3 linked regions of the Caenorhabditis elegans genome follow. The protein of the gene in region 1 purifies or fractionates together with the protein of each later gene. This does not show direct contact. Each region holds a gene or a part of one and is shown in the gene's direction. Other genes may lie near its edges.

The links.
Region 2: the proteins of byn-1 (region 1) and Y73C8C.4 fractionate together in Caenorhabditis elegans (co-fractionation; one large-scale study listed by BioGRID). This does not show direct contact.
Region 3: the proteins of byn-1 (region 1) and emg-1 fractionate together in Caenorhabditis elegans (co-fractionation; one large-scale study listed by BioGRID). This does not show direct contact.

What each region holds. Positions count from the first base shown.
Region 1 is NC_003281.10:6,926,640-6,936,362, forward strand, and holds byn-1 (Cell adhesion protein byn-1), read left to right. Parts: upstream 1-5,361; 5' UTR 5,362-5,365; coding exon 5,366-5,515; intron 5,516-5,584; coding exon 5,585-5,697; intron 5,698-5,744; coding exon 5,745-5,850; intron 5,851-5,902; coding exon 5,903-6,058; intron 6,059-6,104; coding exon 6,105-6,238; intron 6,239-6,286; coding exon 6,287-6,376; intron 6,377-6,427; coding exon 6,428-6,572; intron 6,573-6,618; coding exon 6,619-6,714; intron 6,715-6,762; coding exon 6,763-6,996; intron 6,997-7,021; exon of another isoform or gene 7,022-7,071; coding exon of another isoform or gene 7,072-7,368; intron 7,369-7,418; coding exon of another isoform or gene 7,419-7,703; intron 7,704-7,747; coding exon of another isoform or gene 7,748-8,059; intron 8,060-8,106; coding exon of another isoform or gene 8,107-8,271; intron 8,272-8,316; coding exon of another isoform or gene 8,317-8,535; intron 8,536-8,582; coding exon of another isoform or gene 8,583-8,639; exon of another isoform or gene 8,640-8,680; intron 8,681-8,888; coding exon 8,889-9,014; 3' UTR 9,015-9,223; downstream 9,224-9,723. Other genes in the region: flap-1 (Leucine-rich repeat flightless-interacting protein 2), read right to left, coding at 520-596, 771-944, 988-1,077, 1,127-1,186, 1,921-2,037, 2,085-2,171; inf-1 (Eukaryotic initiation factor 4A), read left to right, coding at 3,498-3,560, 3,610-3,882, 3,967-4,386, 4,439-4,690, 4,746-4,946; F57B9.8 (Tyrosine-protein kinase), read right to left, coding at 7,072-7,368, 7,419-7,703, 7,748-8,059, 8,107-8,271, 8,317-8,535, 8,583-8,639; coq-2 (4-hydroxybenzoate polyprenyltransferase, mitochondrial), read left to right, coding at 9,343-9,461, 9,505-9,611.
Region 2 is NC_003283.11:3,097,239-3,105,242, reverse strand, and holds Y73C8C.4 (T20D4.11-like domain-containing protein), read left to right. Parts: upstream 1-3,093; coding exon 3,094-3,330; intron 3,331-3,380; coding exon 3,381-3,554; intron 3,555-3,962; coding exon 3,963-4,310; intron 4,311-4,919; coding exon 4,920-5,231; 3' UTR 5,232-5,325; downstream 5,326-8,004. Other genes in the region: str-69 (Seven TM Receptor), read left to right, coding at 1-335, 383-453; str-66 (Seven TM Receptor), read left to right, coding at 1,009-1,496, 1,550-1,998, 2,057-2,115.
Region 3 is NC_003281.10:10,645,612-10,652,793, forward strand, and holds emg-1 (Ribosomal RNA small subunit methyltransferase nep-1), read left to right. Parts: upstream 1-3,907; coding exon 3,908-4,274; intron 4,275-4,611; coding exon 4,612-4,940; 3' UTR 4,941-5,297; downstream 5,298-7,182. Other genes in the region: orc-1 (Origin recognition complex subunit 1), read left to right, coding at 85-348; orc-4 (ORC (Origin Recognition Complex) subunit), read left to right, coding at 560-657, 739-803, 1,207-1,679, 2,007-2,175, 2,567-2,680, 2,906-3,047, 3,100-3,202.

The sequences.
Region 1 (9,723 bases):
AGATATTTGAAAAAGTCAAACATGAAGTCAACGCGTGGCACATCACAGTTACGAAAAATTGTTCATATTTTAGAATTTGGCTTTTTCCTTCTAACAAGGTATTATTTAAAGGCGAAATAACGGTTTTTAGTGGGGAAATTGTTCAAAGTGACTTCTATAATACTAAAAACCTAACATCATATATATTAAAGAAACTGTTAGCATTTACAGTCAGTTTCAATATACGCATTCAATTTTTTTCTCGAAAACTTGAAAGAAAATTTACAGAGTATTCTAAATATATTTGGAAAAGTGACTCTATCTTTTTCAATCAGTTCTAGACTTTTTTTGAATGCTTTTTTGACGAAAAATTTTCATATATTGCAAAAAAAATTTTTTTAGAAAAATGTGGTTTTTAATGGTTTCTAATCGGTTTGGTCTTTTTTTTTTGGTTTTTTATAAATTTAATTTTTTGGCCCGAAATTTTTATTTTAGTTTCAGAAATTACTAAAACCAGTTTCATGCAAAAAAAAAACTTACATTTCTCCAGAAGCGTTATTCGTTGATTCGGATCCTTCATCATCCGGATCTTCTTCGACAAGACATAGACCATTTTCCTGAAATAATTACTTACAGAGCAATACGAGTAAAACCCCAATTTAAATTTTGCTTTGCAATATTAAGTATATTTTAAAGAGTCTCTTGAAATCAGAACAAAGGACTTTCCTAGCTTCTCAGGTTTTTTTAAAATCGATTTTATCTTTTGCTGGTTTTAACAATTATACGCCCACCTGTATAAGCTGATCTCGCTGTGAAATTTCTTGTTTCAGCTGCTGTTGAGAAGCGTGTAACGCGTCGATGGTCCGTTTTAAAGCTTTAACTTCACTCGTAAGATCACGACATTCTCGAGATGATAAATTCAAGGATGCATCCTTCTCTTCAAGTTCATCTTTCAGAAGATCAACCTGGAAATTAAGATTTTTTCATAAATACTTTCGAATAAAACACCTCATAAAGTAACGTTGATTTCTCATTATCCAGTTGAGAATATAGAAACATGACTTGTTGAACACGATCTTGGAGCTCGATCACTTTATCCTGTGAATTATGAATTTATATATTGTTAAAAACAATTTAGATCACTCACATGCAACTGTTCCTGTGTCTGATTAGATTGGGATGACACTCCATTCGTGTTAGATGTTGACTGCAATTAACAACAAACAGTTTCTCAAAAGGAAAATTTATGTTAATTGGGGTTAAAATATAAAGTAACACGAGAATAGTTAGACATTAATTTAAAAACTTAGATTTTTTTTAATACGGCAGTAGTGAACTCGAACTCTACGAACTAACATTTTTTGGATCTCCAGGAATTTCGGTGTTTATATTACCCAGTCGCGAAAGTTTGCGCAAATAATACGGTACTAGGTCCTGACACGACAATGCTTTGTTAAATAAAAAAGGTATGCACCTTTTAAAAGTACTGTAATATGAAACTTTCGTTACTATGGTATTTTCAACGATTTTTTTTCCTTGTTTTTTCGAATATGAAATTACAGTACTCTTTAAAGGAGCGGTCCTTTTTTTTATTTAACACTAATTTGTCGTGTCGAGAAAGAGTACCGTATTTTGGACGAAAAATAGCGAAATTTATTTTTGATTTTCTAGGATAATTAATTTCGCAAGATTTTTTGATTATAAAAACATTTAAGAAACTTTATTTTAGGGCATCTTAATTTTGCGTGAAAAATCAATAACGAACATGTAGTTTTTCTTTAAAAGAAATCAAGAATAATTTATGGAAATCAGGATACTTTTTGAACTTTTTCAACGAAAATTTATTAATATTAAAAACGAAGGGTTACTGAAAATGAAAAACGTAGTTTCGAGAGTAAAACTTCAACGTCAAACGTGCATTCTCGTTAATAATCGACTTACAGCAGTATCATGACGATAAGCTTCCGCATCTTCTTCAACTTTTTTTTCTAACAACTGATATCTTCCTTGTCGGGCTTGTTCTCGTGTTTCTCGTTTCAATTTCATTCGAGCTTCCGCCTAAAACTTTTAGTTTTTAATTCGAATTTTTCAAATTGTTAAGATACCTCTCTGGAAATTTTGTCTAATGCTCTTTCTTCGGCTTCTGATCGGGTGATAGGTCGCCGGCGACCACTGGATGGGTATGAGCTCATGATTTCTGAAAATTGTATGTGTTTATGGTGTGTGCACAAGAAAGGAGAATTTGAATATTTTAAATGGCGAAAAATCAATAACGAACAGAGAGGAAGCAGCAGTGAAAATGAGTGTAATGTTTCCAACGCGCGTTGTGTCCGCGCGGATTCCGTCTTTCGAGATTTATGTCAATATGTGTGAGGGTTGAGTGAGGAGGAGGGAAATGAGGGAGAACAGCCTTCCGCAAAATTCAGGATTTTTATGGCCTGTGAACATGACAATGAATTTGATCTCTTTTTTTTATTTGATTTCAGATACCTTTTCTTCTCTGTATTTAATATTTATTCTTGTTCACAATACAAAACAGTCTACATAGGTCAATTTCTTCCTAATCCACGAACAATGCAGTTTTTGGCATTTAACCAAGCCCCTAATTCGGTGTCAACAGGTGTTTTTGAAGAGCAGATGGTGTTCTTCTCGTTTCTCTCTTATTCATCGCGTCTGGAACACCGCACGCTGTGCTCTCTACGGCTCTTACTCTCATTCGTCGCGCTCATTTGCCTAAATTGACCAGTCTGCTCGCTGTGCTCTCTCATCGTTCAACCAACATTTCTCACTTTCTTTATGAGGACCTCATACACACTCAGCCTTCTAACTTTCCTTATTATTTACTTTGGCTTCAAAAATCCAAATTAATTTTTTAAATTTCGAACCACTTTTAAGTGCATGTCACTGTCGTCAGTGTTAGTGATTACTCGTCTTTTTTTTACGCAGGTTGCATTCAAAAAACGGAAAAAGTATAGATTTTGAATCTATATCATTAAAATTATTTTAAAAATGAATTCAAAAATGTGTATAACCAAATGTACATAAAAATTATAAAGAATTGAATTGGTCAAATAAAAAAGAGCCATTTTTCTTCAAAAAAAATTGATGGTATGAATGTGCGCTCTAATGAACACTCTCTTCGCTTCGAGACCCGTCACTCTTGTTCGAATGATTTGGCCCGGTTTTGGGGCGGTTTCTTAGCCTCTTTTTAGATTTTAAAGCTTTTTTAAACGTTTTTTATGCTTTTCGTGTTAAGAATATATTTATTTCAAATGCTTTTTCTCAAAAAAACAAAGGTTTTTAGGTCGAAACTTTTCTTTCATTTCTTTTGGATGGGTTTATTCGAAAATTTTAGGATTGAGATACTGTATTTCGCAATTATTATTATTGAAGAACTATTTCAACACCCTTATCTTTGTATTTAATGCTGAAATACTTTCGAAATTTCATTTTACTTCAATTTCAGAAACTCAATCGCACTTCCAAAAGTTAATTTTTAACTTTTCAACCCACCTGTCATGACCGATGTTAAAAATGATGTGAACGTATCTTCGGTGGTCGATGCCGACGGCTTGATCGAGGTTAGTTAATGTACATAATTTATTATAATTTGAATACATTCAATTTTAGGGAAACTATGATCAAGTCGTCGAATCTTTCGACGACATGGAGCTCAAGGAGGAGCTTCTTCGCGGAATCTACGGATTCGGTTTCGAAAAGCCATCTGCTATTCAAAAGCGCGCAATTGTTCCATGCACCACTGGAAAGGACGTCATCGCTCAAGCCCAATCTGGAACTGGAAAGACTGCAACTTTCTCGGTCTCTATTCTTCAGAGAATCGACCACGAGGATCCACACGTGCAAGCTCTCGTTATGGCCCCAACCAGAGAATTGGCTCAACAGGTAAACTTTCTCACTCAGTGTATTTTAGTTATAGATTATTAGCAGATACTTTTAAAGAAAACTTTTCAAAATCTTTCTTTGTAGATCCAAAAGGTCATGAGCGCCCTCGGAGAGTACCTCAACGTTAACATTCTTCCATGTATCGGTGGAACCAGTGTTCGCGACGATCAACGAAAACTCGAAGCCGGAATTCACGTCGTTGTCGGAACTCCAGGACGTGTTGGAGACATGATCAATAGAAATGCTCTTGACACATCCAGAATTAAGATGTTCGTTCTCGACGAGGCCGACGAAATGCTTTCTAGAGGTTTCAAGGATCAGATCTACGAGGTTTTCCGTTCCATGCCACAAGACGTTCAAGTAGTCCTTCTTTCGGCTACTATGCCATCTGAAGTTCTTGATGTCACTAATCGTTTCATGCGCAATCCAATCCGCATTCTTGTCAAGAAGGACGAGCTCACCCTTGAAGGTATCAGACAGTTCTACATCAACGTTCAAAAGGATGTAAGTTTACTCGCCCAGTCTAAGAAATTGTTTTCATGAACCATTTTTTCAGGAGTGGAAGTTTGACTGCCTCTGTGATCTCTACAACGTTGTCAATGTTACTCAAGCCGTCATCTTCTGTAACACTCGCAGGAAGGTCGACACACTCACCGAGAAAATGACTGAAAATCAGTTCACAGTCTCTTGCCTCCACGGAGACATGGATCAAGCTGAGCGTGATACAATTATGCGAGAGTTCCGTTCAGGATCTTCCCGTGTTCTCATCACCACAGACATCTTGGCTCGTGGTATTGACGTACAACAGGTAAGTATAAATATTTGTGTTTATAATTCAATACTATGGAATGTATATATTTTAGGTCTCACTTGTTATCAACTATGATCTCCCATCCAATCGTGAGAACTACATCCATCGTATCGGACGTTCTGGACGTTTCGGTCGTAAGGGAGTTGCCATCAACTTCGTCACCGAGAACGATGCTCGTCAGCTCAAGGAAATTGAAAGCTACTACACCACTCAAATCGAAGAGATGCCAGAATCAATCGCTGACCTCATCTAAATTTTAATCCAATTCCGATCCCCTCCACGATTGTTCCACACGCTTTTCCCTTCCTCTTGTTTCCTCATATTTATCCATGTTATCTGTTTTCTCCTCCACCCCCACCGTCCCACATTTTTATTTTATGCGTGATTTCATCTTTTTAATCACCCCTTTTTAGTACTGGCCCTATCCCATCCAACTTGGTTCAAACATTCTAATTCTCTTTCAATTTAGAGTTTAGTATTGCCCCCTAAAAGTTATAGAGCCACCTTGGTTTTGTTTGACAAAATGTTTTTGTCTGGCGTTCTCTTTTTCTGGAAAATAATGAAATTGCGTATGTTACATTCATTTTAAATCTTATGAACAGGCTTCTGATCCTTTCAGAATATATTGAACACCGTAATTCTGCTAATTTTTAATTATGAATTTCCAGTAACATGGTGAAAAGGAATTTGAAAGGAAGGGGTGACAAATTATCAGCCAATGCTCCACTGGATAACCAGTTGGAAGCTGGTAAAGTTGCAAAGCAACGAGATGAGCTTCGCGAAAAGCAGAAGAGAAAAAGGGAAGACTCGCAGACAGACGAGGTCAGTAAATATTCAGGGAAAATTAAATATTATTTTCATTGACCAGAGAGTTCATAAAATTAGTTTCAGTTCGTTCCTGATTCGCTCTCATCAAAAATCTTGAATGAAGCTCGTAAGCAGCTTCTCGAAGAGGCACTGGAAAGACAAGAAACCGAATCAGCCACATCTAGTGTTCCAAAAAGGTAAATAAACAATTTATCATAATTCAATGCAAGTATTTCTGTTACAGACAACGCGGAGCTTGGCTTGGAGCTGATGCATCCGGCGACAAATCGGACGATGATGATGATGATAATGAAGAAGAAGACGACAATGGATTTGAAGATCAAGTTGTTGTAAGTAAAATCTATTTAGCTTCGTGATAATAATGTTAAACTCCATTTATAGGAACTCGATCCTCGAGATGAAGCTGATTTGGCTAGATTCCTCAAAAAAGATGCTATCCAAATGTCCACACTCTACGATATTATTCAAGCCAAAATTGAAGCTAAACAGAATGATGCAGAGCTTGCACTCAGCCAAGTTGATCCGAATGAGTTTAATGTAATTTTTAAGCATCGAGCCTTGAAGCATAACAAAATGTTTACAGATGCGTGACATGGACCCAGAAGTAGTTGAGATGTATGAGCAGATTGGACAGTATATGTCAAAATATCGCAGTGGAAAAGTCCCAAAAGCATTCAAAATCATTCCAAAAATGATTAACTGGGAGCAAATTCTTTTGTTAGTTGTCTGTTAGTATCGGATTTGAATAAAATAAAACATATTCAGCCTCACAAAGCCTGAAACTTGGACGGCTGCTGCTATGTATCAAGCCACAAGATTGTTTGCGTCGAACATGAACCCAAAAATGTGTCAGAGGTATTTAAATGCCGATTTTAGATATATCAGCTCTAAAACCGTTTGATTCAGATTCTACACTCTTGTTCTTCTCCCACGTCTTCGTGACGACATTGATGAATTCAAGAAACTTAACTATCATCTGTATCAAGCCCTCTGCAAAGCTATCTACAAGCCTGCCGCTTTCTTCAAAGGATTGATTCTTCCATTATTAGAAGTGAGTTTAACTTAAATATTTTTCATGTATATTCTTTTTTTCTCAGTCTGGAACATGTACACTTCGTGAAGCTGTTATCTTCAGCTCTGTCCTCACCAAAGTCCCGATTCCAATTTTTCATTCCGCTGCTGCTATGCTTAGGGTAACTTTTGTTTTAAAATATCTCATCAAAAACCTGTTGATATTTCAGATTGCCGAAATGGAATACACTGGAGCTAATTCCGTGTTTCTTCGAGCTCTCATTGATAAGAAGTATGCTTTACCGTATCGTGCAGTCGACGGAGTCGTTAATCACTTCATTCGTCTGAAAACCGATGAACGAGATATGCCAGTTTTGTGGCATCAGTGTCTTTTGGCACTGTGCCAGCGATACAAGAACGATTTGAATGCCGAGCAGAAGGCAGCTATTTATGAGCTGATCAGAGTAAGTTTAATTTTTAAAAACTATTAAAACTTCGAGTTTTATTATCACGAGAACATCTAGTTAGGAGAGTTATTTTCATGGCTTCTTCAGTCTCGAATCCTTACCAGACAATGGACCCGAACTAGGCCCAGAGTTGCCACCTGGACCGTTCGATGCGCTTGACGGTTTCTTCTTGTTACGTCTTCCAGTCTTTTTAGCAGTTTTATCTCTCATCGGATCTGACATTGGTCCAGTAGACATCATTTTTGCACGGAGCTGTCCTGTCGACTTGTTGACCGAGGTTTTATCTTTCTTTCCTGTGATTTCGTACATCATCTGGACAACTTGGCTCATAGTGGGGCGCTGTTGAGGATCGCGAATCCAGCACTTTTTCTGGAAAATTCCACATTGCTATGAAAATAGTGGAATGAAATAGAACTTACAATAACATCGGCAAGCATAGCTGGAGCCTTTTGACTAATCGGCATACGGTAATCATCGCGTCCAACCTTCTGATGTACCTGCACCACCAACATCTCCGGATACGGCTGAGCTCCATTCTCGATCACCTCCCAGCAGAGAATCGAGAAAGCAAACACATCAGTTTGTGGAGTATAAAGGAAGGAAACGATCGTTTCTGGTGAGAGCCATCTGATTGGAACTCTTTTGCTCGGATCCATCTGATACTCCGTTCCAACTCGAGATAAACCGAAGTCAGAGACTTTAGCCTGAACGTTATTAGTTATTAACTTTTAAATTATTTATAACATACAACGCCTTTTCCATAGAGTATGTTTCTGGCCGCAATGTCCCTGTGTATAATGTTTTTGCTGTGAATGTATGCCAGACCAGCTGCCACTTGTGCGATTATATCCAGTTTCTCAGGCCATTGTACCGATGAATTCTTCTGAAGATATTTATCCAGAGCACCACCAGGAACTAACTCCATGACTACTAGCAATGGTTCATCGATTGCAGCCACGCCGTAACATTTTACAACGTTCTTGTGATCGAATCCGCGCATCAGACGTGCTTCTGTGATGATCTCCTTGATTTGTTCTTTAGTCACTTTTTCAAGTTTTGCCTGAAGTTTCGTCATTACTTTTTATATAAAAGTCTAGTCCAACTCACAACTTTTATAGCGACATCTACTGTAGTCGATCCCATTTTCAGCGTCCCAAGCTTTACTTCTCCGAAAGCACCTTCACCAAGAACTTTTGTCATTGTAATATCGGCGTGATTCAGTTCCCATGATTGTCTACCGATAGGATTCACTAGAACACTGCTTGCAACTTCCTGAACAACAATAATTAGTCTATAATGTGCATGAATCGCTCGTACCTCACTAATTTTAGCCTGTTTGTGATGATTTACTAACTCAGTCAATGTTCCAAATTTAATTTTATCAGTGATTGAATATGCTCCGTCGCTTGTACGAATCACATAATGAGCAACTTCTTGACTTGTCTCGTTCTGCATCACCGAAATGATCAAATGACGTGCTTGTCCTTGAGGCTCTGACGTTCTCATCAGATAATCGCCATTTTTTTGAAGTAAAAGCTGAAAAAGTCGGTGCTCCTTTTAAATAAATATTACTCTCAAATTACCTTTACTTCTTCTCGTGGAAGAAGTCCGTGAAAGAATGGTTGCTCATTGATCTCCATTGCGCCAATTATGTGAAAAGAGTGTAGAATTAATTTCTACGATTATCGAAATGATTAAAATTTCACTTCTGATCGATCTTATGCGTGTTTTCTTCTTTTTTTTAATTTTTTTCCTGGCGTATGGGTTCACATCATTGGTCACGTAAATTTTTTTTTCATAATTATAAAGTTTAAGTCAGGTAATTTCCGAAGTTTTATGGTCCCATGAGTTCAATGTTTCCATTGTTTTTAACCAATTTCAATTTATAGTTCCATGGACACTATCTCATCTCGCCTGAAATTCGCCGTGAGCTCGAATCCAAGGAAACCGAAGACGGACATGTTATCACTTCAGTTGTGGTCGAAGGCCGAAAGACGGATAGTATGGAATTCTAAATCACACACAAACAGAAAGAGACGCAGAAGAGAAATATTTCCCGCTTTCACTCTATTCTGCACGTAGGCTTTGCTCTTTTCTTCTATTTCCATTATTGTTCGTTTCCCCGCGCCCCTCCCCAAAAATTGTTCATTTCTTTGTTTTTTATTCATCATTGTTGGTTATGTTACTCTCTTCCTCATTCAAATGAAATTGTTGTTGATTTTCTAAATACAAAGTATTAGTTTCAAAGAGCAAAGGTTTTCGTCCCTAACTTAATGCTTGTTTTTTCAAATTCATGTTATCATGTCTTTGACGAGAGAAAGTTTTCAGATTCGTCAAAAAAAAATGATAACCAGGTCAATAGGTATCGCTAGAAGATCCAATTCGATTAATTGCATTGTTGGATCAAATACAAGCACTTCATATAGTTTAGATGAATCAACAAAAAGATGGATTTCCACTAGGTTCAGAATTCGAAAATTTTAATTTTAATTGTTATAATTTTAGTACAAAACAACCAATGTCACTGATACCAACTGCAAGTAGCCTTGTTGCTTCTTCTCCGCCAAATTTGAAGCCATATCTTCAACTGATGAGAGTCGACAAGCCTATCGGTAATTTATTATTACACAGACGCGAAGTTTTGGGAGTTTTGCGCCGAAAATACGATACCTAGTCTCGACGCGATTAATTTTGTAAAATACAAACAAATGTGCGCCTTTAAGA
Region 2 (8,004 bases), on another chromosome or scaffold:
AGGAATTTCTTCAATAAGTTTTCACTATTTTATCATTATAGTGTGCTGCTACAAAATGCACATCTCCATGAAAATAGAACTGGCAAAGTTTTCCGTCAAAAACCAGACGCTTCACCGTCAATTTTTCAAAGCGCTCATCGTACAAATAATCGGTCCAACTATTTTTCTGATCATTCCGACCATCCCAATTTTCTTCGCACCGTTGCTCTCGCCTATTCTCAAAATTGATGTCGACTGGCAGACGGGCAACTTATTTGCCCTTGTTGGCTTTAATGCTCCATTTGACAGTATTGCATTTATGTTAATTGTTTCAGAATATAAAACAATCGTTAAACGTTAGTTTCGGAAGTATAATGTATATCATGATATTCAAATGTTTCAGAGAAATTGTGCGGCGTTTCGGTGGTTTCGGTGGTTTCAACAGCAATAGTTACTCAGCCAGTGCTTTTTTGAGCTGAATTTGATGTTTCGAGAATAATAAATTGTATAACTAATTCAATTGAATAAATACACTTTTAGATAACTTTTTCTTGAAAGTTTAAATCTTAATCCACTATTACAAAAGTTTTAAAATCTATATTACGAGCTCTCACTGTGTAAGAGGCGTATAGCAGAGTCTATGACGTCATTCAAAAAATACACCCTATTTTTTGTGGGTCGTTCAGGAATTATATATAGTTACTGACAACCTAGAAAACATAAAACATGGTTAGTCGTATTAGTTTCAGACGCACGCGTTATAATTTCGGTTTGTCGACTATACCAAACAACACGGGTCTCGGTTCACCAATTGTTCTGATTTCCTTTCAATTTTTATACCGAAATCGCATTGGGCAAATATATCAAGTTGGTAGACATTTCTTTCCAATAGATTATGTTATGATAGTTTAGAAGTCTGTGCTCTAATTTCCCTATGTTGATTATGTTCAAATCCGCGTGACGTAAACATGCCTCTTCTGTAAGATACTCCCGCCTAATATCTTCTTTTGAACATCACAACTGCTCGTAATGTTCATGTTCAAGTTATTTGGCTTTTTCACAGCGTTTGGATTCTTTTCTGGATGCATCGCGAACTCCCTCTTCATCTTCATCACAATTAAATATATTAAAAACATATCAGTACCATATAAACGAATGATCGTTGTCTTCGCTGCCCTGGGACTCATGTTTTCGGGCTTTGAAGCTATTTCAAAACCATTCACCCACAACTACAATGGTACGCTATTGTACTTCAGCGCTACCAATTTTCAATTACCAATTAATATCAGCAATGCCTTCATAACGGTGTGGTCGTGCTTTTATCTAACAACTTTCTCATTTATATCCGTCCTGTTCATATACAGATATTTATGCTTATTTGACAGTTCAAAAACCAGGTTTTTTGAAGGATTCAAAGGCGGCTTATGGATGTTGTATCCTTTACTACCAGGAATTTGCTATGCTAGCACTATAAAGTATTTATGTGCACCTAATGATTATACAGATGAATATGTCAGGTAAATAGTACCATCTTGAACGTTCGGCAAATTTCAAGTAGTGCATTTTCCAGAGACTCTGTAGCAGAGAATTATGGATTAAATGTATCTGAACTCGCTAGGTTCTCATTAACACCTTATAATTCTGATGGCTCTGTTATACATACTAGTATAATATTCCTTTTGATCGCATCATCTCTCATCAATTTTCATTTCTCCATCATCATATTCTGCAGTCTAAAAATGCATTTCAACATGAAGAAGGAATTGGAAAAGTTCTCTGTCCAGAACCAAAATTTACAACGGCAATACTTCATTGCACTTGTCATACAGGCGTTAGTACCAACAATGTTTCTGATAACACCTGCCGTGCCAATCTTGATAGCTCCATTTTTGGCACCAATCGTTGGAATTGAAGTGGATTGGCAGTCTGGGAACCTGTATTCGCTTGTTGGATTTTATCCGCCGTGTGATTGTATTTCAGTCGCACTAGTTGTTTCCGAGTATAGAAATATTATTAAAAGTTAGTTTGAAACGTTTAGTAAATTTGGCGGTTTACTGGTAAATTAATTTTATTTCAGATAAAATATCAATGTGTTGTAAGAACAATGCACAAGTCTCCGTGATAAATTCACTTTGAGAAACTCCAGTTTGAGGAGAACACAAATTTATTGGTAGTGGAAGAATTCAAAATGCTTTAAATGTATTAAATTCACTTAACATTCGTGATATACATAAATAAAAACTGTAAAATAATGAATTAATTACATTTAGAGTAACATCGAATAAAGATTACTTAATCAAATGTGGAACATAATAAAAGGGAGTTTAGTTTAGGTACACTTACTATGATCTAATATACACCCCTCAAACGGGCATTTAACAACAAAAAAAAATAGTTAATGATGACTAATAGAACAGAAAACCCAATTTCAAGTACTTCTATTGAAGTTGGATTGTGGAGATGAAATTTTGACGGACTTTGATAGAAAATGGAACAACTACCGGAAGAACAATAATTCCACAAGCGGCATAACTAATTCTAATGAAAAAAGTGCTGGTGAAGAATAAATATTATATATTAAAGATTATTGCATCTTTTTTTAAATCAACTATTCTCTTCATAGTTGCCTGCATCACTATAGTTTGAGTAATAAATATTTGTCGTATTTTTCTGACAAAAATTCAATAACTATTACAGATAAACTCCATCGATTAATTTTCCGTAAACCATGATTTTTTGTGATCTTTTTCTAGTTTACAGCATTTGCAAACAAGTACATACGTAATTTTTTTCTCAACTCATATATTGCATAAACCTGTCTAACGAGAATTATATTTTTGTTTTGTATCTTCTTGAGACCATCTCAATCGCTTGAAGTTCATCTAAAAAACTTCACGTTTTTTGAAAAAAATTTACTGTGATATTTGATCATTTTGGCGTCATAGAAGTGGTTATTCCGACAACGGAAAAATGTGTGAAGTAACTATTTGGTCAGAAAGAACATAGGCAGATCACTCTCTTTTCGATGAAGTATGGATTAGTGTGGATCATTCAGATTAAACTACAGAGAGTATAATATATTTCCATGTAACAGTTTTGGTTCATTATTTAGACATGAGGTTGTCTATTTGCTGGGTGATTCCATTGTTCACATGTTTCAACTATATCGAATCCAAGTCCACAAAATTGAATTCGTCTTTAAACGTTTGCACACAAAGTGAGAAAGCTGAGATAAATGCGAAGTGCACCCCTTATGTGAACAATTTGATGAATTTAACGAATGAATATTCAAACATTCAAGTTACATCAGAGATCGCAAAAAATATCAATACAACTTGCAACAAGATACCGGTAGGTTCTTTGTATATTTGTATTCATTTATGTTTTATGTTACATTCCAGACATGTTTTGGTCAATTCAATTGCACGGAAGCTCAAAAAAACAAAGAAACTTACGAGAGAAAATGCGAAAAAATTGAATTCACATATTATGAAATGATGGATTGTGTTTCGAAAATATACGCATTGTATTACCGCGGAGACTACTTCTGTAGCTTTGGCATAAATTTTTTGACGGTAAGACAAGTAAAATTTAATTAACGGTACTTGTGTATTACATGCCCTCATCGAAAAATTACAAAAAAATCCACGAGAATCGATGATTAATGTGAAAAAACAAATTTAAAAAAAATGTTTTCCCGCCTTTTGTGTGCAGTAAAGCTATGGGCCAACCTGACACCACGTGATCAGTAGGTATTTTGTTTTGCATAATATAACATAGGTAACCAATTTTGAAAATAATATTATATTTTAAAAATAATTATTCCAACTTTAAAAAAACATTTTATAAGGCGGGATTACTTTTGAAATACCTTCCAACATCACTGTGCGGTCATTCCAAAAGGATTCAGTCTTTAATTTATTTTTATTTTAGCAAAATTTGAAAAAAAAAAGTCCGTAAAACTAAGAAACAAACATTTTCAGAAAGATCCGGACAGTCGTCGTAAATCATATGTCAGTGGAGAAGAATGTGTTAAAGGAATTGCTTTAAGAACAAAATGCGACAAAAAAGCATTGGAATATCTAGATTCATATTACGAAAGATTTGTGGATATTATGAGTACTAAACACCACGGCCATTCTTTGTTCCATGAGTTGGTATCAAAACGGTGTGATCCTGTGAAGGACAAAATGAATGAAGAAATAATTGTTTTGAAAAGCGAAATGAAGTCCTCAATAGAACTGACGACTCATGAAAAAACCACAGAAGCATGGCGAACCTTTGAGAAGAAACGCTGGTCCAAGCCGACGTCAGTCTGTGATGAGTTGAAGGTTAGATTTAATGTTAGAACAAAATAGTTGGGACAATAATGCCTTTAGAAATGTTGCTTTGATTGATAAAATATAGTTTAGCTTAGGGCTTCCCGCTGAGTGAAGTGCAAAATGCGAGCCACGAGCCGGCTTCACGCCTACGTCGCGCGCCGCTGTGTGTGTGCAGCGAAGTGCGAAAGGTGGTTATTTGGAAGCGGCCGACACGTTCGCGGTTCCTCGCCGCACTATACATGTGGCGTGGTAGATGCGGTGAAACCGGCGCGGCGACCGCTGAGGCAGGCGAAGGCGCCGACCTCATGGGAGCCCAGTTAAAGTTTGGCAACATGCATTTTCAATTTTTCGCTGATTTTTGCGTCAGTTTAAAATAAGTATAATTCAAAAATGGGAGTTTTAGAAATAAATTCATAAAACAACTTATCTGGCATACTATTGCTTGTAATGTTGTCGAAATTGTTTGAAAACTCCGAATTTCATAATGGAACCTTCTGAAAACTTTTTTTAAAAGATGGGGACTCAAAAAATGACCTAAAATTAAAATTTGAAATTTGCCCGACTTGTATGCGTAAAGATAAATCCATTTCTAAAATATTTCACATAAATACGTTTCAGACCTGCATGAAAAGCTCTTACTTTTCTGAAGACCGCACCAACGAAACCGTCGAACTTTGCAATGTGATGTATGAAGACGTATTCAATCTCTGCTTAAATGAAGTAAGAACCCGGGAAGACGCGAAAACTTTTCCGTGTTTCATTGATGAAAAATTTCATGATCCACAGAATAATACAGAACTCCTAAAAAACAAGGAATGCATACAATACGTCATGACTGGCATGTGTGGAGATGGAATTTTGACGAATTTCGATATCAATTGGGACAATTATCAAAAGAACACCAATTCAACGGAAGGCAATTTAATTTAAATAATTTTGCAAAATAAACATTCTACATTTTTGAATACCGTATCTTTGTATTTATTTATTTTTTGAAAGTCTAGTACACTGGTAGATTTAGACTGATTAAAAATGTGTCGTGTTTTCTAAAAAACTTGTTGTAGACTTGGACTGCATTTTCTAACGTTATTTCAAAAAAACCTATTTCGAGAATTAAGATTTCATATATAAATTTTATAGAACTTACTGTTTTCTTTAACTACTCAGGATATTTTGAAAAAAATGTTGCAACCCAAATATATAACCTTATTTTTTATTTTTATCCCAAATAAGTATGCTTCAAGGCAATTCAAATTCCGCATTACTCAAAATTTTAAATAAAACACTTGAATTTTTTGAAATTTAGGAAATTTACAAGAGACACGTGCTCGCCGGCTGTCCTTTTGCAATTAAACAAATAGATTAAAATAAAAACAAAAAAAAAAGACGAAAAAATAGATTGACAGACGAAAAATAGATTGACAGACGAAAAATAGATTGACAGACGAAAAATAGATTGGCAGACGAGAAATAGATTGGCAGACGAAAAAATAGATTGACAGACGAAAAAATAGATTAACAGACGAAAAAATAGATTCACAGACGAAAAATAGATTGGCAGACGAAAAAATAGATTGACAGACGAAAAATAGATTGGCAGACGAAAAAATAGATTGACAGACGAAAAAATAGATTGACAGACGAAAAATAGATTGGCAGACGAAAAATAGATTGACAGACGAAAAATAGATTGACCGACGAAAAATAGATTGGCAGACGAAGAAAATAGATTGGCAGACGAAAAATAGATTGACAGACGAAAAATAGATTGACAGACGAAAAATAGATTGACAGACGAAAAATAGATTGACAGAAGAAAAATAGATTGACAGACGAAAAAATAGATTGACAGACGAAAAATAGATTGGCAGACGAAAAATAGATTGACAGACGAAAAATAGATTGACAGACGAAAAATAGATTGACAGACGAAAAATAGATTGACAGACGAAAATAGATTGACAGACGAAAAATAGATTGACATACAAAAAAAAATAGAATGACAGACGAAAAATAGATTGACAGACGAAAAATAGATTGACTTACGAAAAATAGATTGACAGACGAAAAAATAGAAAAATAGATTCCCCCTTCCTACACGCTTTGCCCCGTTTGCCGTTTGACACCGGAAAAATGTGTTATGTATTGTTCAGAAAGAACTTCTATGAAATATGGATTAGTGTGGATCATTCAGATTAAACTACAGAGAGTATAATATATTTCCATGTAACAGTTTTGGTTCATTATTTAGACATGAGGTTGTCTATTTGCTGGGTGATTCCATTGTTCACATGTTTCAACTATATCGAATCCAAGTCCACAAAATTGAATTCGTCTTTAAACGTTTGCACACAAAGTGAGAAAGCTGAGATAAATGCGAAGTGCACCCCTTATGTGAACAATTTGATGAATTTAACGAATGAATATTCAAACATTCAAGTTACATCAGAGATCGCAAAAAATATCAATACAACTTGCAACAAGATACCGGTAGGTTCTTTGTATATTTGTATTCATTTATGTTTTATGTTACATTTCAGACATGTTTTGGTCAATTCAATTGCACCGAGGCTCAAAAAAACAAAGAAACTTACGAAAGGCAATGTGAGAGAATTGAATTCACGTACTATGAAATGATGGATTGTGTTTCGAAAATGTACAAAGTGTTTTACCGCAGAAGCAACTACTGTATCTATCACTTGGATTTTTTAAGGGTAAAACAGTCATTGTTTTTCATTCGTGATTTTTTTGTTTTGCATAATAGAAAATAGGCCGTAATGACTGAAAGTAACTATAAAAATATTTAAAAAGGTGGAATTATTTTTGAATTACCTCCCAAATTAATGATGTCATTTTCAAAATTTTTGTAATGCCGGAAAACGCAAAAATGACGTCACTCAATTTCGAGGTCAATCGAAAACAATTTTGACGTTTTATTTGCGTAGAATTGAAAAAAAAAATCAATAAAATTAAGAAACAAACATTTTCAGAGAGATCCGGAAGATCGCCGTAATGCATACGTCCGTGGAAAAGAATGTGTTAAAGAAATTGCTTTAGGAATAAAATGTGACGAGGAAGCATTGGAATATCTAGATTCACAATATGAAAGATTTGTGGATATTATGAGCACTAAACACCACGGCCATAAAAACGATTCTTTGTTCCATGAATTGGTATCAAAACGGTGTGATCCTGTGAAGGACAAAATGAATGAAGAAATAATTGTTTTGAAAAGCGAAATGAAGTCCTCAATAGAACTGACGACTCATGAAAAAACCACAGAAGCATGGCGAACCTTTGAGAAGAAACGCTGGTCCAAGCCGAAATGTTGTTTTGATTGATAAAATTTATTTCTTCGAAAACCTGTATTCAGTTCAAATTCAAACATAATATGTACAACTACAACACTATTTTTATCTCAGCTTATATTTTTGGAAATAAATTCATTTCTAAAATAACGTAACCGGATTTTGAAACCATTCGAGTTTCACAAAAAAACCTTTCAGACCTGCATGGAGACCTCTTACTTTTCTGAAGACCACACCAACAAAACCGTCGAACTTTGCAATGTGATGTATGAAGACGCTTTCAATCTCTGCTTAAATGAAGTAAAACCTCGGGAAGACGCGAATAGTTTTCCGTGTTTCATTGATGGTAGGTTTCATAATCCACAGCTAAATACAGAAGAATTAAAAAACAAGGA
Region 3 (7,182 bases), 3.7 Mb from region 1:
AGTAAGGAAATCATTTAAAATTTGTGCAAAAAACCTTGAACTGTTCTGAAATTTGAACATTTCCTAAAATTGAATATTTTGTAGACCCGCGAACAAGAGGAGATCATCTTCGCAAACATCTACAAAAACTACTGCATAATCTGCTCAGAAGTCTCTGGAATCGGCCCGGCCACCGATAGCTTCGCCTACGGAATGCTCCTTCAACTGGCGAGCACTTCATTGATAAATCTGTCGAAAGGAGATCACGGAATGATGAATCGACGTGTGAAGCTGGGAATGACGTCGATGGAAGCTGAAAAGGCGATCAAAGCGGCGATTGAGAAGAATAAATCGATTTATTCAATTTAAATTTTATATTTATGTGTTATCCTCCAAGGACGTTCTATTTAGATTCTTTTTTGACTTATTTTGCATTAAAATTCCAATTAAAATAAAATATGGACTTTGAGTTTGCTGTGACTTTACCGGAGTCATTTCAATCACCAAGCAGTTTTCCACCTGTTTTTTATACTTTTTCTTCTAAATTTTTATCAAAATAATTTGTTAAACATTTCCCAGAATGCTATCACCTTCCGATCAAGAAATTGTAGCGGAAAATGCTCGGCGAGCTCTTGATTTGCTCGACGATCAGGTCTTCGGACTAACGGAACAAGAGAGGTGAGTGCCTGATGCAAGCGCGCCCCACTGGACTTGCTATTGAAAATTTGTGATTTTCCCAAATATTTTATCTATTTTCAGGCAAATCGAGAATATTGTCTATGATTTTCTGCAGTCGAAAGATGGAAAATGTGCTCTTCTTGAAGGTAAATTTATTGTCGCCTCAAAATCTGCTCTAACGACCGAAAAAGTTCGAAAAAAAGCGGAATCTTGGTAAATCTGGTATTTCTCCTAATTTATCTTTTGGCTTCAGCTCGAACATAGTTTTTAATAATTTAATATAGTTTAATGCATATTTCGGCTCATTTTCCGGCTTAAAATTTGCCTAAAATTTTAGATTTTTGCGAGAAATCTCTTAATTTTCGGTCTTTTGAGCCCATTATGACAGTGCGGCACGGTTTTTTGTTGATTTTTTAAAAATAAAGTTGTTAATTTGCTCATTTTCCTTATTGAAACGTCATCTAATGTACTCAAAATTATACAAAATTTCGCAGTTTTCTCCATTTAAATATTGAATTTTCAACAATTTTTTATCGATTTTCATTGCAGGAGAACGAAATTGCGGCCGAGAAAGCACACTTCGGAAGGTTCTCAACAAATATCACAAGGAATTACGAGTAATCAACGCAGGCTTCGTTGCCGCCGATCCAAATTATCAGCAGGAACTCGCAAAGGAGGATGACGAAGGATATTTTGTGTTTTTAGTGCGAGACGCCGACAAATTAATCACTCCACAGCAGCAAAAGTTCCTCTACACGATGGTTGACAAGGCGACACACTTCTCGTGGCTCGTCTTTTTCTCCGTTTCCCGACACGATTTCGCTCAGAACCTTCAGAAACAGGCGACGTCGAGAATTCCGAAAATTCAGGTGTCATTTGACGCGACACACGATTATGAGGAGTATTGTGCAGCGTTGACGCAGTTTTTGATTCCTGGCGGCTCAAAATGCGAAGAATCCGAGTGCTATAAGAGATTTGTGAAGAATTTGAACTTTCAGACATGGCTTAGGCCGGTTTTTGAGGTGAGATTTGGTGAAGAAGCATTCTTAAAAGCTGAAAATTTCACGAAAAAGCTGAAAAAACTCAAATTTTCCACCTTTTTTTTTGATTTTTTTCATCAAAAATTGTAGTTGTTTTTTTTTATTTTCTTTTTAGAAAGAAAATGTTATCCAATTTAATTCTCATAAAATGCGAGGGTATTTCATGATTTTATAGCCAATTTAGCATGAGATATCCGTACAATCTTACGATAATTAAATTGGATAACATTTTCATTCCAAAAATGAAAATAAAACAAATAAAATCATATTTTTCGGCTTTTCAACCCCCATTAAAGTCCATATTCTCAGACAAGTCACTACGTCGTTCTGAAACAATTGGCCGCGCAATTCCTGATGCTTTTCGGTTACTATTGTGACGTAGAAGACACGTGGAAACCCGAGGAAATCAGCAAACAGATTCGTAAAATTGTCGAGACGACTTCTCCCTCGTATAATGGAAAATTGTTGATTTTAAAAGGTAGAAATTCTGCTAAAACTTTGAAAAAGGCAGAAAAAACCCACGATTTTCTAATTTTGAAAACAAAAAATGAACAATTCAAGTTCACTTTTTGAAATTCCGCAAAGAATTAAAAATTCTGATTTCAAATCTGGAAATTGAGCTGATAAAGTAATTTTTTACCTTTTTTTTTCGGAACAAATTTCAAATTTTAAACAACTTTAAAATGTAAAAAATCATGCAAAAATCGTGATTTTCAATCAAAACCTATTTTAATCTTTACAGCTTTTGAAATTTTTCTGAAAAATTAAAAAAATCCGGTAAAATCTAGAAAAAACTAATTATATACTGTTTTTTCGGCTCAAAAATTTAATAATTCCAGTGAAATTCTAAAAATTTTTCAAATTTTCAGATCAAACAGTTCGAGCACAATGCGTTTTTCTTTGTGTCTGGAGACTTGTGCAGAATAAAGAGTCAGATGGACCACTTTTGGCGCCAAAAACTTCGTATCGAAACGTTTTTCTAGGTATTTTTTAAAATTTATCTCGGAATTTTCGATTTTTCGAATTTTTAAAAATTGAAAAACGAAAAATTTTTCGATTTTTTGAATTTCCGAAAAATTAAGAAAATGTTCAGAAAATTAACCATAAAATATGATTTTTTTTAAATCTAATTTTCGATTATATTGATGAGAAAAAACATGAAAATTTTAAGCTTATTTTTTAAAAATCTATTTTCTCCGTAATTTCAGAATTCAAAAAACTCGTTAATCAACACTATCCTCCACTGAACGTGAGCAGTGATGTCTACGTATTCCGAGAATTGGATCATCTCGTTAAAATGGGAATTTTGAAGGCAGACGAGAGCACAAATGTGACAAATACCTCGTTTCGGTGGGTTTTTTTTTCAGCTGAAAAATTCACCTCAAATCCTCTTTTTTTTCAGAAAAGTTTGGCTTCATATCAATGATAAAATTGTGGAGGACTCGATCTCGAAGTTGCAGCTCCCGCGAGTTGTTTCCGACTTTTTTATGACTATTTTGAAGTAATTTTGATATTTTTTGTACTATTTGCAATGAAGATTGATCTCGATATTTATATTTTTGTTGAGTTTTTTTTTCTGTGAGAATTATTTTCGGTTTAAAAACCATCATATTATTTTTTGAACTTGTTTTATAAAAATCTTTACAGGAGCTTCAAAAATCGAAAAAATAAAATAAAACCATTTTTCGTTAATTCAAAAATCCCGAAATAAAATATTTAGTTAAATTTTCATGTTTTAGGGGAAATTCGACAAAAAAAGGAACTCACTGAAATTTTTGAAAAACCGTTCAAATTTACAAATTTTTTCGTTTTTGAGTTTTTGAGTTTTTTGATTTTCGACTTACATTTTCTCCGCAGAAATTTTTCAGTGTTTTTGACGAAAAAATATCGAAAAACGAAAAAAGAAGTGAAAACTTTTAATTTATCAAAAATTATGTATATTCCTATATTGATAGATATGGAAAATTAGAAATTTTTCCAAAAGTCGAAAAACTCAATTTTATTTCCAAAAAAGCGGCATTTTTTCGAAAATTTTACAGAACGACCTATCGTTGTTCCCACAGCTTTTATTTAAAATTTGTGCTAAACTATAAAAAATCACAATATTATTCAGAAAATAATTTTTTTTTCATCAGAATTATTGAAAATTCGATTTTTGGTCCTAAAAAAATTACTTTATGACAAAAAAAATTAATTTCTCCGAATTTCAGATGTCCCACGAGTACGATACAGTTGCACCGCCAAATGCGAAGCGCATGAAGACGGATAATCAATTGGAGGACAAGAAGATTTTGTACGTTGTACTGGAAGGATGTAGTCTTGAAACTGCAAAAGTCGGTGGAGAATACGCAATTTTGAGCAGTGATAAACACGCGAATTTTCTGAGAAAACAGAAAAAAGATCCGGCTGATTATCGGCCAGATATCCTACATCAATGCTTGTTGAATCTACTTGATAGTCCGCTTAACAGAGCCGGAAAGCTTCGTGTCTTCTTTAGAACGAGCAAGAATGTGCTCGTTGATGTCTCACCACAGTGCAGAATTCCAAGAACTTTTGATCGATTCTGTGGACTTATGGGTGAGTTTTTGGTTTATTGGAAATTGAAAAAAATATATTTTGAAGTGTTTTTGTATGTAAAATAAGAAAAAAGACAATTTTTCGAGTTTTTTAAAAATTATTTTTTATCAAATTTAAACATAAATTTTTAAAAATACCCTTTTCCTTTTAAAAATACCCGGATTCAAAATACCCCAAAATAGTCTGAAAATCAAAAAAAAATTCACAAAAAAGAGCACAAAAATCCAATTTTCAAAAACATGCTTTAAAATACTTTTTATTGGATTTTTTGTGACTTTTCTTGCAATTAGGTATTTTTATGCAAAATCCCCCTATTTTCTATTTTCCATATTTTCAGTCCAACTCCTGCACAAACTCTCCATTCGAGCCGCCGAAACCACTCAAAAGCTGATGTCAGTAGTGAAGAATCCAGTGTCGAACCATCTTCCAGTGGGATCCCGTAAGATGCTCATGTCGTTCAATGTACCTGAGCTAACAATGGCTAATAAGCTTGTTGCACCGGAAACCGACGAGCCTCTGGTCCTTATTATCGGTGGAATTGCTCGTGGAAAGATCGTCGTCGATTACAACGATTCTGAGACCAAGATCAGCAATTATCCATTGAGTGCAGCGTTGACTTGTGCCAAAGTGACCAGTGGACTTGAGGAGATTTGGGGAATTATTTAATTGATTTTTTGCAGTTTTTTCATTTTATTGTTGTCTGTTTTTGTTACTATCTTCATCTTATAAAGTGCAAAATCACTTTTTTTTTTCGAAAAAAAATGCCGTTTTTTTGTAAATTTCAATGTCTATTTCTTACTTTTACACTGAAATTGTTTTAAAAAAATCAAATATTCTAAAAACCCAAAAAATTAGTTTTTTCTTTGATTTTCCTTTCGTAGAGTTCTCTTTTTTTTTTATTTTTTCAGTTTTATTAGGTAGTAATTTAAAACGTTTTAAAATTTTACAATATTTGGCATAAAATTCGGCAAAAACTTTTTTTTTTCAGAAAAATTCTAAATAAAAAAGTCCAGGAGCCTAACTTTTCAGTTTTTACCAATTTTTCAGACAAAATCGAAGAATAATCGTGAAAAATGCGATTTTTTCGCTAAAAATACGGTAGCTGGTATCGAAGCGACAATTTTTTTAGTTGCAGAAGGATGTGCGCCTTTAAAGAGTACTGTAGTTTTAAACTTTCGTTGTTGCGGAATTTTTATTGATTTTTTGTAGTTTTTCGATAAATTATCGATTAAAAAAAAAAGATAAACTCAAATAAAAAATTAAAAAATACAAGAAAACTGTAAAATATTATAAATTTCAACATAACTGGAGAAAAACTGTAAAAAAATTTGAAAAAAAAAAACAATTTTCATATTTTCTCTCCAGTTCTGATAGAATTTCTGACATTTTAAACTTTTTTTTTTACTTTTTATCATAAAAACTATGGCAAATTAAGGAAAATTCTGCAGAAATGAAATTTGGAAATTACAGTACTCTTTAAAGGCGCACAATATTTGGCATAAAAAATCTTCGCTTCGAGACCAGGTACAGTAGTTTTGACACCGAAAACGGGCCATTTTTTCAAAAAATAAATGAAAATTAAGACTTAAAATTCATTTTTGTTCCGAAAAATGTACTTTTTTTCAGTTAAATATCATTAAAAATTATTAAAATTTCTTAAATTAATTTTTTTATTTTATCCGAAAAATTAAAAAAAAAGAAAATTTTCATTTATTTCTCGATAATCAGAAAAAATCACAGTGACGCAAATAAATTCTAAGAAATCACCTCATTAATCCGGACCACCTGGAAGTAATTTATGATAGAAGATGGGCTCACGCAATGCTCTGTATCCCCCTCCAGACCGTATGTTCACAGATTGTTTGCGGAGCAGCAAGACAACACAATGCAAACAAAGAGAGATATAGACATTTCATTATGCAAGCGCATAGCCTCCCTCCTCCTGGACCTTCTCATTGCCATACTGACTGACTGACCAGTGCACAGGTTCAACGCACGCCGTCTGCGTCTCTTACCCAATGTGTGCGCATCGATTGTCGCTGTATCTCTGCGTCTCTACAGTGGCCTCGTTCTCTCATCGTGACGCTTCACTCCGTATGCTTGTGAGACGTTCTGGGAGGCCTGTGTTTGCCCGTTTTTCGTTTAATTTTTAAAAAAATTTTGAGATGAAATTTTCGGCTTGTCTATATAGTTTATCATTTTTAAAAATCGAATTTAAATCCTTAAAACTGCGATAAATCTTTTTTACTTTGTTAAAATTAAAAAATATGCTTTTAGTATGCTCCCATGCCTTTGAAAATCGAATTCTTCCTATTTTTCTCAAATTGAAAAAAAATTTCACACTGACCGCTTTTTGTCAAAATTGCAGATTTTTCGTTAAAAACGGCCATTTTTCGATTTTAATTTTGAAAACTGGAAGAAAAATATCAAAATCAAAGTTTTTGAAAAAACTTATCTACAAATTTATGTGAACAAACCGTAAATTTTTACCAATTTACACGGAAACTGTAACTTTTTGGAAAAAACAATTTTTTTCGTTTTTAGCGTTAAAGTATCGGTTATTTCGTTTTTTAAATTTTCAAATCGTGAAAAAAACGCGAAATTCGTTTTTTCACACAGCATCTAATTTTTTTGTTGGAAAATGTGCTTTTTCCGCTGAAAAATCTTTAATTTCAGTACTTTGACGTTAAAATTGAATTAAAAAAATATTTTTTAAATTTTGAAATTGTGAAAAAAAACTATCGTTTTTCATTAAATTTCCTAATTTGTAGTGAAAATTTGGGTTTTTTTGTTTGAAAATGCACTATTTTATTAAATTTGCCGTTAAAAATCGATTTATTCGTGTTTTAATCTTCAAAATCAACCAAAATTAGGCTTTTTCATCGAATCGATTAAAAATTACAAAAAT